2 linked regions of the Anolis sagrei genome follow. The protein of the gene in region 2 binds, or shares a complex with, the protein of the main gene of each other region. Links are inferred from orthologs where the notes say so. Each region holds a gene or a part of one and is shown on either strand. Other genes may lie near its edges. The genes, in order: ASB7 and LZTS1.

Region 1 (7,867 bases), on a different chromosome or scaffold from region 2:
ACAACATGAGGAACTGTATCAAGGGGCCGCGGCATTAGGAAGGTTGAGAACCACTGTGGTAGACTATTATCTATCTTGTGGTCTACTAGTCTATATAAATAATATAATGATTGTACATTATATATTACATGTAATATTGCCAATAATATTGCTGTCCAGTGGTATAGTACAATATAGTAATCTATCATACTAATATTGTGCCATGGCAATAATATGATATATTGTATATACATATAATATGGGTAATAATATTACAATGAAATACTTTATAATACTAACAATAATACAATATAATAATATAAAATAATATAGTAATATAGAATAATATTGTAACATAATAATACTAAAATGTTAAATACTTTACTTACTTAAGCGATTTCTCGTTGGTCTTCCATGATCAGTATTCTGGTGGATCCGTAGGTGACTGTGGAGCTCTATTCTTGACCCGCATCTTCTCCCTCAGTGAGGGCATTGGTTTCCAGGTGGAAGGCGGTCTCGGTCAGGGTTGGCTTGACGCGCCTTCCTCTTGGCACGTTTCTCCATTTCACCCTCCATTCGTACCTCTTCAAATTCTGCAGCACTGCTGGTCACAGCTGACCTCCAGCTGGATCGCTCAAGGGCCAGGGCTCCCCAGTTCTCAGTGTCTATGCCAGAGATTTTAAGGTTGGCTTTGAGCCCATCTTTAAATCTCTTTTCCTGTCCACCAACATTCAGTTTTCTGCTCTTGAGTTCGGAGTAGAGCAACTGCTTTGGGAGACAGTGGTCGGGCATCTGGACAATGTGGCCGATCCAGCGGAGTTGATGGCGGAGGACCATCGCTTCAATGCTGATGCTTCTTCCAGCATGCTGACGTTTGTCCGCCTGTCTTCCCAAGAGATTTGCAGGATTTTCTGGAGGCAGCGCTGATGGAATCGTTCCAGGAGTTGCATGTGATGTCTGTAGACAGTCCACGTTTCGCAGGCATATAGCAGGGTTGGGAGGGGAATAGCTTAATAAACAAGCACCTTGGTCTCCCTACGGATGTTCCGGTCCTCAAACACTCTCTGCTTCATTCGGAAAAATGCTGCACTTGCAGAGCTCAGGCAGTGATGTATTTCGGTGTCGATGTTGACTTTGGTGGAGAGGTGGCTGCCAAGGTAGTGGAAATGGTCAACATTTTCTAATGCTACACCATTAAGCTGTATCTCTGGCATTGGAGAGGGATTGGCTGGTGACTGCTGGAAGACCACTTTGAGCACTTTGGTCTGTAGACAGTTCATGTTTCGCAGGCATATAGCAGGATTGGAAGGACAATAGCTTTAAAGACAAGCACCTTGGTCTCCCTAAGGATGTCCCGGTCCTCAAACACTCTCTGCTTCATTCGGAAAAATGCTGCACTCGCAGAGCTCAGGCGGTGTTGTATTTCAGTGTCGATATTGACTTTGGTGGAGAGGTGGCTGCTAAGGTAGCGGAAATGGTCATATTTAATCGTCAATTAAATATAATACTATGAATAATATATAATATATAATGACAATACTGCTTTTTATTATTGTACATGTTAATGTATTGTCGAAGGCTTTCATGGCTGGAATCACTCAGTTCTTGTGGGTTTTTTCGGGCTATATAGAACATGGCCATATAGCCCGAAAAAACCCACAAGAACTGAGTGTACATTTTAAGTTGTCATGTTTTTGATTGTGAGCCGATTTGAGTCCTCGTAAGGAGAGAGAAAGTGGGATAGAAATCAATCAATCAATTAATAAAATAATAATAATAATACCTGCGTGACCGCATCTCTGTATATGAGCCCACACGATCCCTCCATTCATCTGGAGAGGCCCTACTCACGATCCCACCTGCGTCACAAGCGTTTTTGGTGGGGACGAGGGACAGGGCCTTCTCTGTGGTAGCCCCTCCCCCCGACTCTGGAACTCTCTCCCCAAGGACATCAGACATGCCCCAACGTTGGCAGTCTTTAGGAAGAGCTTGAAGACCTGGCTGTTCAGTGTGCCTTTCCAGAATAGGAAACTCCCAGCATCATGTCCCGGACGCACTTTACTAGAGATTTAAGATTGCCTGCACATTGCACCTACTCTAAAATCCTTATATTTCACCTGTCATGTCCAGCACTTCTTAATTTTATTCATTACATTTGGCTCGGCCCTAGTTTTAAATGTGTCATGATGTATTGTTTTAATGTTTTACTCTTATTGCTTTAATGTTTTATTGGTTTGCTTTATGAGTTTTATTGTTGTATTTGTTATGTTGTTGTTTTATTGAGGGCCTTGGCCTTAGTAAGCCGCACTGAGTCCTTCGGGAGATGTTAGCGGGGTACAAATAAAGTTAATAATAATAATAATAATAATAATAATAATAAATCATTCCCGACACCAAGAGTTTTTGCTTGTTTGCATGCTGGTTGCACGATCATCTATGCTGATGATCGTGCCATTACTGCTCAACCAGGGAGCTTTGAGACGGTAAAACAGAAGCTCTCCGAAACTCTAGGTGCTCTTACTGCCTATTATAGGGAAAACCAGCTGATCCCTAACCCATCTAAAACACAGACATGTGGCTTTCATCTCAAGAACAGACAAGCATCCCAAGCTCTGAGGATGGCCTGGGAAGGAATCCCACTGGAGCATTGCAGCACACCCAAATACCTGGGGGTCACTCTGGACCGTGCTCTGACCTACAAGAAGCACTGCCTGAACATCAAGCAAAAAGTGGGTGCCAGAAACAATATTATACGAAAGCTGACTGGCACAACCTGGGGATCACAACCAGATACAGTGTAGACATCTGCCCTTGCGCTATGCTACTCTGCTGCTGAGTATGCATGCCCAGTGTGGAACACATCTCACCACGTTAAAACAGTAGATGTGGCTCTTAATGAGACATGCCACATCACCACGGGGTGTCTGCGCCCTACACCACTGGAGAAATTACACTGTCTAGCTGGTATTGCACCACCTGACATCCGCCAGGAAGTAGCAGCCAATAGTGAAAGGACCAAGGCAGAGACATCTCCAGCTCATCCCCTGTTTGGGTATCAGCCAGCACGTCAACGACTTAAATCTAGAAATAGTTTTCTAAGATCTACAGAGACACTCGCTGGAACACCTCAGCAAGCGAGAGTCCAAAAGTGGCAGGCTCAAACCCAGTACGTCAACCAATGGCTGATACCAAATGAGAGACTTCCCCCTGGGCACACAGAAGACTGGGCGACTTGGAAGGCGCTCTGGCACCACGAGATGCAGAGCCAACCTTCAGAAATGGGGCTACAAAGTGGAATCCTCGACATGCGAGTGAGGAGAAGAGCAAACCACTGACCCCCTGCTGCAATGCAACCTGAGCCCAGCCACATGCACAATGGAGGACCTCCTTGTGGCAACACCAGAGGCACTCCAAGTGGCCAGATACTTGTCAAAGGACATTTAATCAACTACCAAAGTCACAAGTTTTGTATTTAGGTTCTTGTGGGTTTTTTCGAGCTATAGGGCCATGTTCTAGAGGCATTTCTTCGGGAGAGGCCCTTCTCTCCATCCCGCCTGCTTCACAGGTGCGGTTGGCGGGAACGAGAGATAGGGCCTTTTCTGTGGTGGCCCCTCGGCTTTGGAATGCCCTCCCTATAGAGATAAGATCAGCCTCTTCGCTGATGGTATTTCGTAAAAAACTGAAAACATGGATGTTTGAGCAAGCATTCGGTTAACCCGATGCAAGGAAATTCTTGACCTAGGACCGGCAATTACTGACAATGAAATAGGATCATGATTAAATTAAGAGACGCATTGGTCTGTATTGGTGGCCCAATACTGTGAAGTGTATATGTATATGTTTTATATTTTTAATTGGAATATTGTTGTTTTAATGTTGTTGTAAACCGCAATGAGTCGCCGTTTTAGGCTGAGATATTAGCGGTATACAAGCGTACTAAATAAATAAATAAATTTCTCCTGACGTTTCGCCTGCATCTATGGCAAGCATCCTCAGAGGTAGTGAGGTCTGTTGGAATTAGGACAATGGGTTTATATATCTGTGGAATGGCTGGGGTGGGGCAAAGAGCTTTTCTCTGCTGGAGCTAGGTGTGAATGTTTCAACTGACCGCCTTCATTAGCATTTGAAGGCCTGCCTGAGCCTGGGAAAATCTCTTGATGGGAGGTGTTAATCTGTGCCTGGTTGTTTCCTCTCTGTTGTTTTGCTGTTGTAATTTTAGAGTTTTTTTAATACTGGTAGCCAGATTTTGTTCATTTTCATGGTCTCTTCCTTTCTGTTGAAATTGTCCACATGCTTGTGGATTTCAATGGCTTCTCTGTGTAGTCTGACATGGTGGTTGTTGGTGTGGTCCAGCATTTCTGTGTTCTCAAATAATATGGCTGACTTATCTGGTTGAAGTAGTCTGCAGTTTTGTATTTGTCTGTTTGTTTGCTTTGTTCTGTTAGAAATGTAATATAATGGACTGGTTGCTCTGACAGGACAAATAAATAAATAAATAAAAACCAAGAGTTTTTGAAAGTGGTGTCGCTTTGATGCCGGAAATGTGCAGAAACGTGTTGCTGTAAGATTTGTCACCCTCTTAGAGGTTGTGAAGGAGCAGAAAGGAGGAAAAAAAGTGGTCGAGGCGTTTGGGACGCTGGCGCCGTCCAATGGCGTGACGGCGCGAGGCGGGAGGCGGGCGCGGATTGGCTGGGAGAGGAGGTCAGGCCCTGCCCGGTGACCCCGGGCGAAAAGAGAGACAGGAAGGAAGCAGAAGGAAGGAGGTAGCAGCAGCAGCGGCGGCGTCTTCTCCTTCTTCTCCTCGCCTTCTCCAGCCAGGCGTCTCCTCCCGGGTCCCTTCTCTGCCTTCTGAATGAGGAAGAGGTGCCGGGAGAGGGAGGCTGACTGACAGGTAACGGCCGGCGCGGGGGCGGGACTTGGCGGCCCCTCGACCAATCCAGGGAGGAAAAGGCCCCCGACCCGGGCCTCCCGGGCCTCTTCCTTGGTGGTCGCGCACGCCGCCCCCGTGATGCCATTCGATGCCAGGAGTGGGGTCGCCTCTCACGGGATGCCAGGGTGCCTCCCACTTGACCAAGCTGTAGGGTGGGGATTGTTGTGATTATGACCATTATGGCCCCTTCCACACAGCTGAATAGAACCCACATAATTCTGCTTTGAACTGGGTTATATGGAAGTTGGGACTGAGGGCCCTTCCACACAGCCCTCTATCCCAGAATATCAAGGTGGAATATCCCCCATTATCTGAATGTGGGCTCTGATAACCCAGTTCAAAGCAGATATGGTGGGATTGTATGACTTGATATTCTGGGATAGAAGGGCCCTCAGATAACCCTTCCACACAGCCATATAACTCAGGACATCTAGGCAGATCATCCACAATAGCTGGTTTGAACTGGGTTATCTGAGTCCACACTGCCATATAACCCAGTTCAATGTGGATTTTATACAGCTGCGTGGAAGGGTTCTAGGGCCCTTCCACACAGCCCTCTATCCCAGAATATCAAGGCGGAAAATCCCACGTTATCATAGAATCCCACGAACTGGGTTATATGGCAGTGTGGACTCTTATAACCCAGTTCAAAGCAGATATGGTGGGATTCTATGCCTTGATATCCTGGGATGGAAGGGCCCTCAGATAACCCAGGCCCCTTCCACACAGCCGTATAACTCAGGACATCTAGGCAGATCATCCACAATAGCTTCTTTGAACTGGGTTATCTGAGTCCACACTGCCATATAACCCAGTTCAATGTGGATTTTATACATCTGTGTGGAAGGGTTCTAGGGCCCCTCCACACAGCTCTATATCCCAGAATATCAAGGCCCTCAGATAACCCAGGCCTCTTCCACACAACCGTATAACTCAGGACATCAAGGCAGATCATCCACAATAGCTACTTTGAACTGGGTTATCTGAGTCCACACTGCCATATAACCCAGTTCAATGTGGATTTTATACATCTGTGTGGAAGGGTTCTAGGGCCCTTCCACACAGCTCTATATACCAGAATATCAAGGCCCTCAGATAACCCAGGCCCTTTCCACACAGCTATATAACTCAAGACATCCACAATAGCTGGTTTGAACTGGGTTATCTGAGTCCACACTGTCATATAACCCAGTTCAGTGTGGATTTTATACAGCTGCGTGGAAGGGTTCTAAGGCCCTTCCACACAGCCCTGTATCCCAGAATATCAAGTCAGAAAATCCCACATTATCAGAGTGTGGACTCTGATATCCCAGTTCAAAGCAGATATTGTGGGATTGTATGCCTTTATATTCTGGGATAGAAGGGCCCTCAGATAACCCAGGCTACTTCCACACAGCTATATAACTCAGGACATCAAGGCAGATCATCCACCATAGCTGGTTTGAATTGGGTTATTTGAGTCCACACTGCCATATAACCCAGTTCAGTGTGGATTTTATACAGCTGTGTGGAAGGGTTCTAGGGCCCTTCCACGCAACTCTATATCCCAGAATATCAAGGCAGAAAATCCCACATTATCAGAGTGTGGACTCTTATAACCCAGTTCAAAGCAGACATTGTAGGATTGTATGCCTTGATATTCTGGGATAGAAGGGCCCTCAGATAATCTGGCCCCTTCCACACAGCTATATAACTCAGGACATCAAGACAGATCATCCACAATATATTGTCAAAGGCTTTCATTGCCGGAATCAACTGGGTTGTAGGTTTTTTCGGGCTATATGGCCATGGTTCCGGCCCAGCTTATCTATCCGAACGCATCTCTTCCTACGAGCCCTCCAGGAAGTTAAGATCATCTGAGGAGGCCCTGCTCTCGATCCCGTCTGCTTCGCAAGCACGCTTGGCGGGGACGAGGGACAGGGCCTTTTCTGTGGTGGCCCCTCGGCTATGGAACTCCCTGCCTAGGGATATTAGATCAGCCCCCTCCCTCCTGACTTTTCGGAAGAAAGTAAAAACCTGGCTCTTCGAGGAAGCCTTCGGAACCTCGGAATAGATAGTCAAACTTGAGATGGAGAATGACCCAGGAACAGCCAAGACGATGAAATGGATGAGGATTGGAATGAGAGGATATAGCTCTTTTTAAATTGTTATTGCACTGTCTTTTTTGTCTAAATGCACTTAATTGTTTTTGCTGTTGTATTGTATTGATGGCATCGAATTGTGCCGATATGTAGTCGCCTGCGGGCTGAGTCACCTGCGGGCTGATATGGGCAGGATATAAGTGATGTAAATAAATAATAAATAAATGGTCTAGAGGCATTCTCTCCTGACCTTTCGCCTGCATTTATGGCCAGCATCCTCAGAGGTAGTGAGGTCTGTTGGAACGAGGAAAAAGGGTTTATATATCTGTGGAATGACCAGGGTGGGACAAAGAACTCTTGTCTGCTGGAGCTAGGTGTGAATGTTTCAACTGACCACCTTGATTAGCATATAATGGCCTGACAGTGCCTAGAGCAAACCTTTTCTGAGAGGTGATTAGATGTCCTTGTTTGTTTCCTCTCTGTTGTTGTGCTATTGTAATTTTAGAGTTTTTTAATACTGGTAGCCAGATTTTGTTCATTTTCATGGTTTCCTCCTTTCTGTTGAAATTATTATTATTATTAAACTTTATTTGTACCCCGCTAGCATCTCCCGAAGGACTCGATGCGGCTTACAAAGACCAAGGCCTCAACAACAACAACAGACAATAACAATATAATACAAGCAAATTAAAAACATAAGCAATAACAACAACAAAACATTACACTATTACACAATAAAACCAGGGCCGGGCAAATAAAGGGTACAGGTTAAAAGTGCTGGGTGTAAGAGGTGATATGTTGGGATTCTGGGTAAGTGCAATGTGCAGAGAGTCTTAAGCTCTAATAAAGTGTTTCTGGGATGTAGTGCTGGAGGTTA
Region 2 (7,546 bases):
AGAAATGTATGGTACTATACCGAAAGGTAAAGTGTGATGCGGCAGCTAAGAAAGCCAATGCAATTCTAGGTTGCATCAATGTGCACCTAGTGCGGAGTTCAGGAGAAGTCATCGCCCTGTTCTCTTCTGCTTTGATCAGACCTCATCTGGAATAACACTGTGCCCATTTCTGTGCATAGCAATTCAAGGACGTGGACAAGCTACAACACGTTCTGAGGAGTGCAACCAAAAGTGAGGGAGCTGGGTCTGTTGAAACATTCACACCTAGCTCCAGCAGACAAGAGTCCTTTGTCTCACCCTGGTCATTCCTTAGACATATAAACCCCTTTTCCTAGTTCCAACAGACCTCACTACCTCTGAGAATGCTTGCTATAGATGCAGGCGAAACGTCAGGAGAAATGCCTCTAGAACATGGCCATATAGCCCGAAAAAACCTACAACAACCCACTGGGTCAGTTTAGCTTGGAGAAAAGAAGGCTGAGAGAAGGAAACACCAGGGCCATGTTTACATTTCTGAAAGGATGGTGGAGGGGGTGAGCTTGTTCTCAGCTGTTCTGGAGACTGGGTTCAAAGGATAGGAAAAGAGGTTCCACTTAAACATTAGGATGGACTTCAGTCCTCAATGCTGCTGTTTTTCTCTAATGTGCAATTGTGTTTTATACGGATTGTTTATTTATGATGTTTTTATTTTATTTTATTGGTGCTTTTGTTTTAGTGGATTATTGCTTTTATGTATGTATGTATGTATGGTGGACTTTCTGTCCCATATGTAAGCCATCCCAAGTTCCTTTGGGGGAGATGGTGGTGGGGTAGAAGAATAAAGTTGTTGTTGTTGTTGTTATAGCAAGAGCTGGGCTCCCTGGTGGTACAGTGGGTTAAGCCGCTGAGCTGCTGAACTCTGAAAGGTTGGAGGTTTGAATTCACAGACTGGCGTGAGCTCCCACTGTTAGCCCAGCTCCTGCCAACCTAGCAGTTCAAAAACATGCAAATGTGTATAGATCAATAGGCACCACTCCAGTGGCATCTCCTTAATGCTTGGAGCTTCCGGACCGGGCTATCATACTATCACCGGCATTGGGTCCCAGCTATCATACTTTTGCCCCATTACGTCACCGCAGCTCCTTGGAGATGTGTTTGGACCTGATTACCAGGAGACCAGGTATGCCTTGAGACATCCCATCCCCAACCCTTTCACTCTGGACCCAGGAGCCTTTCTTCAGTGATAGTATAATAGCTGGGTCCGGAATCTCCAGGCATTATGGAGATGCCGCAAAGGTGGCTGTGAATAAGGGAAGAGAGGGGGCGGAGTGAGTGTGGGGAGAGTGAAGGGAGGATAGAAAGGAGGGGATGCTTAGGGTAAGGGTTAGGGCAAGGTTTTAGGTTTTGGATTAGGGTTACAGTTAAGGTACAGTCAGGGGTGGCTCAACCAATTATGCAAAGTAAGCATTCGCAGTATAGTTGATTTTGCCCAGGGGTGCTCTTGAGGCACTCTTGGGGGAAAATAGACCCTGACATATGTGAGTTGTAGTTACTGGGATGTATAGTTCACCTACAATCAAAGAGCATTCTGAACTCCACCAATGATGGAACTGAACCAAATATGGCACACAGAACCCCCACGACAAACAGAAAATATATATCAGTGATTGGTTGGGGGGGGGGGGGCAAAATAGTTTGCTTACCGTTGAAAATTACCTAGGGCCGCCTCTGCCCTTACCCTAACTGTAAGCCTAACTCAAACCCAAACCCTAAGCCTAGCCGTAACCCTGACCCTAAGCGTCCCCTCCTTTCTATCCTTCCTTCGCTCTCCTTGCTCTCCCTCTGCCCAGGGCCGTAGCCAGAAAAAGATTTCGTGAGGGGTTGAAATTTGGGGGGGGGGGGGTTTGAAAATTTCACAGGGGAGGGGTTGAAATCTGCCTCCTAGCTCACGCTGAAGCAAAGAGCACAGCAGGGGGCAGAGTACCCGTCCCTGTCATCCACCTCCACCAAGTCTGGCCTCCTTAATGAGAGCATTCAACACCCCCTCCCCCCAATTTGGTTGCTTCACTACATCGGCTATTGCTGCAAGTAATGACAGTGTGAATAAATTGTCAATATTTGCCTGAGATAGTGCTTGCAGTTCTGGAGGGACTCTTAATTTTTTGCATCTGATAGACTTAGCATGGGGATTTGGTTAACCAGTTAAAATTCATGAGTAAACCAGGTTTTTTTAAAAAAATCTGAAACATTTCGGGGGGGTGAACCCCCTCGCTACAGGCCTGCCTCTGCCCCTTCTCTTTCCTTATTCACAGCCACCTTTGCGGCATCTCCATAACGCTCGGAGCTTCCGGACCCAGCTATCATACTACCGCGGGCATTGAGTCCCCGCTATCATATTTTTTCCCCATTACGTCACCGCAGAAAATTGGATATGTGTTTGGACCTGATTACCAGGGGTCCAGGTATGCCTTGAGAGACATCCCATCCCGAAACCCTTCCACTCTGGACCCTGGAATCTTTCTTCTTTGCCTGCCTAGAGCTACATTCCTGCAAGCCGGGCCAAGAATGCAATCAACTTGGCGGCTGGAAACCCAAGAGGGCGCGCGCACAGCCCGGGGGTCTCTCTCTCTCTCTCTCTGTGGCGCGCGCTGGGACGCTGACGACATTACTGTCTGAGGGGGGGGGGGGAGGAAGAGAGGGGCTGCGCTTGTCCGGCTCGCCTCTGTGTTGACATGGCACGCGCGGGTCTTGCGTCTGAAGGGGACGGAAGGGGGAAAAGAGCGGGAAGAGCCCCTAGAGATGCCTCCCCAGGTCCCAAAGACCCCTTCCTTCCTTCCTTCCTTCCTTCCTTCCTTCCTTCCTTCCTTCCTTCCTTCCTTCCTTCCTTCCTTCCTTCCTTCCTTCCTTCCTTCCTTCCTTCCTTCCTTCCTTCCTTCCTTCCTTCCTTCCTTCCTTCCTTCCTTCCCTCCCTCCCTCCCTCCCTCCCTCCCTCCCTCCCTCTTACCTGGAGATGATGCTTTAGCTGAGATCGCCTCCTCTGCCTCTTTTCCCCTCAATTGGGGAGACTGACTGGAGTCAAGAGGGGGAGAGAAGGAACTGGGAGGCAAAGGGGGCGGGGCGTGTATTTGCATACCGGGCGCTAATTGGACAAAGTTTGGGCAAAGGAGGAGGGGGCGGGCTTTGTGCGCCGGGGAGGCAAGGGTGCAAGGGAGGCATCAATGGGTGTCCCAAGAGCCGGCACGTGTCGGGAGGGAGGAGGGAGGGAGGGATTGAGGAGGGGGCTCTGAGGCTTCTCGCTGCCAAACTCTCCCGCCCCCGTCCTTCCACATTTGTCGGTGGCTGTTACTGGGGAAAAACGGAGGGAAGGAAAGAGGGGAGCAAGGTGTTGATTGGAGAAGCCAGCCGAGCGCCCGCCGGAAGCGCTGGTTTGCTCAGCCTGGGGGTTGCCAGGTCGGCAGAATAGCCCCATTGGCAGCCAGGAAAGAAGGGGGACCTGGGGGTTCAAGGAGGGAGAACCCCAGCCCTAACTCTCTCTGCCCTGGTGCAGGCAGAGATGAGTCAAAAGCCATGCACATCTCTAGGTGGAAATGTGCTTTTATATCAGGTATGGGGCAACTTGGGCCCTCCGGGTGTTTTGGATTTCAACTCCCACAATTCCTAACAGCCAGTAGGCTGTTAGGAATTGTGGGGGTTGAAGTCCAAAACACCCGAGGGCCCAAGTTTGATTGTTGATTGGAGAAGCCAGCTGAGCGCCCGCCGGAAGCGCTGGTTTGCTCAGCCTGGGGGTTGCCAGGTCGGCAGAATAGCCCCATTGGCAGCCTCCGGGTGTTTTGGATTTCAACTCCCACAATTCCTAACAGCCAGTAGGCTGTTAGGAATTGTGGGGGTTGAAGTCCAAAACACCCGAGGGCCCAAGTTTGCCCATGACTGCATTAGGCTAAAAAGCAAACCAATAGGCTGTTAGGAATTGTGGGAGTTGAAATCCAAAACACCCGGAGGGCCTAAGTTGGCCCATGACTGCATTAGGATAAAAAGCAAATCGGTAGGCTGTTAGGAATTGTGGAAGTCCAAAACATCCAGAGGGCCCAAGTTTGCCCATGACTGCATTAGGCTAAAAAGCAAACCGGTAGGTTGTTAGGAATTATGGGAGTTGAAGTCCAAAACACCCGGAGGGCCCAAGTTTGCCCATGCCTGCTTTATAAGAAGGGACACCTGGTACCCCTATTCAGAGATACAGCAAATATCCAAGGCTGGGAGAAGATTTTCTCTCCATTCAAACTCTGTCTTCTTTTGTCAACATGCTTTAGTATGAGAAGGCCTCAGTGTTAGTTCACTTCAGTGTATGAGAGGTGTTAGTCTGAGAGAGCCCTCATTGTGAGAAGGGGTTCTGTAGTGGTTCATGTTGGGCAAGTGGGCTTATTAACCAAAGACCCTCCTTATCAATGTATGGCAGAGTAACTTATTAGCAGTGTGAGCCCAAAGTGATCAAAAACAAACAAACACATAGACCAATGTTGTCTCTTCCTTAGAAGGCTTTTTTATAGCAAAAAAGTATGGTTGCACTATTTACAAGAACACAATTTCCATAACACAAATAAAGTTCTTTACACTTCCTTCTTTGCTTCCATGCTGGGCTTCTTTCTCATTAAGATAAACAGCTTCGCTCTCACTGAGCTTCCTCTCATACTAAACTTAAACAGGAGCATCACACTGTAGCCTTTCACACACAGCATCCTCCACACTGGAGCTTTACACATGAGGCCTTCAATCTGGGGCTTCTCTCACCGAAGCCTTCTTACTCCAGGCCTCTCACACACTTGAGGCCTACCTCACACTGAGGTCTTCGCACACTGAGGGCTCTCTCAGACAAATGCCTCTCATACACAAGCCAGTTGGGTTTTGCATAGAATAGGAAGTGGCACCATCTTGATTTTTTGCTTCAGGTGGCACAATGCCTTAGGCCAACATCATCATAGCTTTCACTGGAGAAGGTTTCACTGTGGTGATGGTGCTGTTGCTGCTAATAATAATCTCTATCTACCCACTAAAATCTTAAAATCTTAAAAGATGATGCTGTCAAGGTGATGCATGCCATTTGCCAGCAAATATGGAAAACACAAGAATGGCCATCAGACTGGAAAAAATCAACTTATATCCCCATACTGATGCGGAGCATCTTTCCCCCCAAGTATTTGTAGTTCGTCAAGGGCCGGACAATGGATTCTGTTGCTTCCTGACCCAGCACACATAACTGGGTTCCTGTTTCCTCTCTGTGAATTCTCTGGCTTGTGTACTGGACCCTGGCCCCTGATCAGGGAAATGTAGTTTCCCAAAGGACACTGCTTCACAGATTGCAACCCAGAAGCCCCCCCCTTTGAACTCTCTTGCCTGCCCTCTCCTATTGACTTTCTGCTCCACATCCCGGACTGTTTTCAGCCACACTTTTGGACACAAACCTCAGACCAGGCTAGCTTGGAGGGACAAGCAGCCTCTAGCCTACATGCGCCTTCACCAAGGAGACTATGATTCCAACAAGAATGAAATACATTTATTATTGTTGTCTTTAATAAACTTTGCTGGGTTGGGGAAGGGGATTCATTTATGGAATGTATAAAGGATATGAAGCATGATGAGATGTATAAAATAGAAATCAATCATATGAAATGTACCCTGACCCTCTTCCCCACCTTTTTTCCCCTCTGAACCTTGCCCCAAAAAGGAATGTGACCTGAGGTTACTGTCAAGAGGAAATCCTATTTCCTCAAAGGTAAATCCATATTTGCATCTGCATGGCCGCAGTTGGTCTTATCTCAGGGCTCATTTTCAGAGTTCAGACAATGGGCTGAGAGATAAGTCAACAGAAACTCCGGTAAAAGGATGATTAACTCAACCTTTGGTATTTGTGCAGCTCCTTTGTTTACAGGGCTCCCCTGTTTACAGAGTTTTGAGATCCAAATACCATCATCAGCCCCTTTTCATATTTCCTCCAAATCTCATCAACAAAACCAGGAAGCCCTTTGTCCCCTCTGTCTGCCACCCCTTGACAAACACAAAGGCTCGGAAATCAGCTGGGGGACGCCTCCGGGGCGTCCCGCCTCCCCTAAGCTGTCAAACTTCATCCCGCCTCCTGGCCTCTGATTGGACCATCTCCGGAGGCGCTAGGAAGGCTCCGATTGGCCCCCTGGAGGCAGCAGCGCCCGCTGGTTGGTCAAGAGGCGGGACGTGCAGCCGAGCCTCCTCCCAGCTGTTCGGGGGCCAGCCAATCAGGGCGAAGCCAACCAGCAGAGGGTGGACGGGATTTTCAAACTGTTTTTCCTTTGTTCTGACAATATAAAAATGCCTGTAACTTCTATGAATGTATGCTTGTATGTGAACTATCACTACAATCGCATCCTTTTCAGCTGAATCGCAGAAATAAACGCTTCGGTCACTGGATACCTCTTCAGCCTCTGGTGGGATTAATTCTTAATATTTTGCGCTTTGGATTGGCTTTCGCTGGCTGCTCACCGAGGTCAAAGACCCCATTAGCGGTCTTTAGGGATCTCCCTTCCTGGGAGGGCCCCCCAAAAGAGCTCGATATCAATACCAAAAAAGGGAAATGCGAAAGACTGCTCAAACTTCCGTACAGTGGCCCTTATTTCTCATGCCAGTAAGGTAATGCTCAAGATCCTGCAAGGAAGACTCCAGCAATACATGGAGCGAGAGTTGCCAGATGTTCAAGCTGGGTTTAGAAAAGGTAGAGGAACGAGAGACCAGATTGCCAATATCCGCTGGATAATGGAGAAAAGCAGGGAGTTTCAGAAAAACATCTACTTCTGCTTCATTGACTATTCTAAAGCCTTTGACTGTGTGGATCATAATAAATTGTGGCAAGTTCTTAGTGGGATGGGCATCCCAAGCCACCTTGTCTCTCTCCTGAGGAATCTGTACAAGGACCAAGAAGCAACAGTAAGAACTGACCACGGAACAACAGACTGGTTCAAGATTGGGAAAGGCGTACGGCAAGGCTGCATACTCTCACCCAACCTTTTTAACTTGTATGCAGAACACATCATGCGATGTGCGGGGCTTGATGAATGCAAAGCTGGGGTGAAAATTGCTGGAAGAAACATTAACAACCTCAGATATGCAGATGACACCACTCTGATGGCCGAAAGCGAGGAGGAGCTGAGGAGCCTTCTAATCAAGGTGAAAGAAGAAAGCGCAAAAGCCGGGTTGCAGCTAAACGTCAAAAAAACCAAGATTATGGCAACAAGAATGATTGACAACTGGAAAATAGAGGGAGAAACCGTCGAGGCCGTGACAGACTTTGTATTTCTAGGTGCAAAGATTACTGCAGATGCAGACTGTGGCCAGGAAATCAGAAGACGCTTACTTCTTGGGAGGAGAGCAATGTCCAGTCTCGATAAAATAGTAAAGAGTAGAGACATCAGACTGGCAACAAAGATCCGCCTAGTCAAAGCCATGGTATTCCCTGTAGTCACCTACGGATGTGAGAGCTGGACCTTAGGGAAGGCTGAGCGAAGGAAGAGAGATGCTTTTGAGCTGTGGTGCTGGAGGAAAGTGC

Evidence for each region.
Region 1: the proteins of LZTS1 (region 2) and ASB7 are in contact, whole or in part, in a crystal structure (PDB 8Y1U), measured with the Homo sapiens proteins. The link is inferred for Anolis sagrei from reciprocal best matches to the Homo sapiens genes LZTS1 and ASB7. Residues at the interface, in NP_001349813.1 of Homo sapiens: Arg346, Glu348, Leu349, Leu352, Met353, Glu355, Gln356, Leu358, Leu359, Glu360, Lys362, Leu363, Arg364, Ser365, Tyr366; in NP_937886.1 of Homo sapiens: Asn46, Trp48, Ala56, Ile79, Phe82, Tyr87, Met90, His91, Asp116, Trp118, Val123, His126, Tyr127, Ser147, Lys149, Thr151, Gln155, Leu156, Ile159, Arg160, Phe182, Arg185, Tyr186, Ile189, Lys190, Arg210, Leu220, Leu223.

Annotation. Positions count from the first base shown.
Region 1 is NC_090029.1:13,385,783-13,393,649, reverse strand, and holds the start of ASB7 (ankyrin repeat and SOCS box protein 7), read left to right. Parts: upstream 1-4,721; 5' UTR 4,722-4,870; intron 4,871-7,867. UniProt on the Homo sapiens protein: Probable substrate-recognition component of a SCF-like ECS (Elongin-Cullin-SOCS-box protein) E3 ubiquitin-protein ligase complex which mediates the ubiquitination and subsequent proteasomal degradation of target proteins.
Region 2 is NC_090027.1:14,588,869-14,596,414, reverse strand, and holds the start of LZTS1 (leucine zipper putative tumor suppressor 1), read right to left. Parts: upstream 3,101-7,546; 5' UTR 2,984-3,100; intron 1-2,983. UniProt on the Homo sapiens protein: Involved in the regulation of cell growth. May stabilize the active CDC2-cyclin B1 complex and thereby contribute to the regulation of the cell cycle and the prevention of uncontrolled cell proliferation. May act as a tumor suppressor.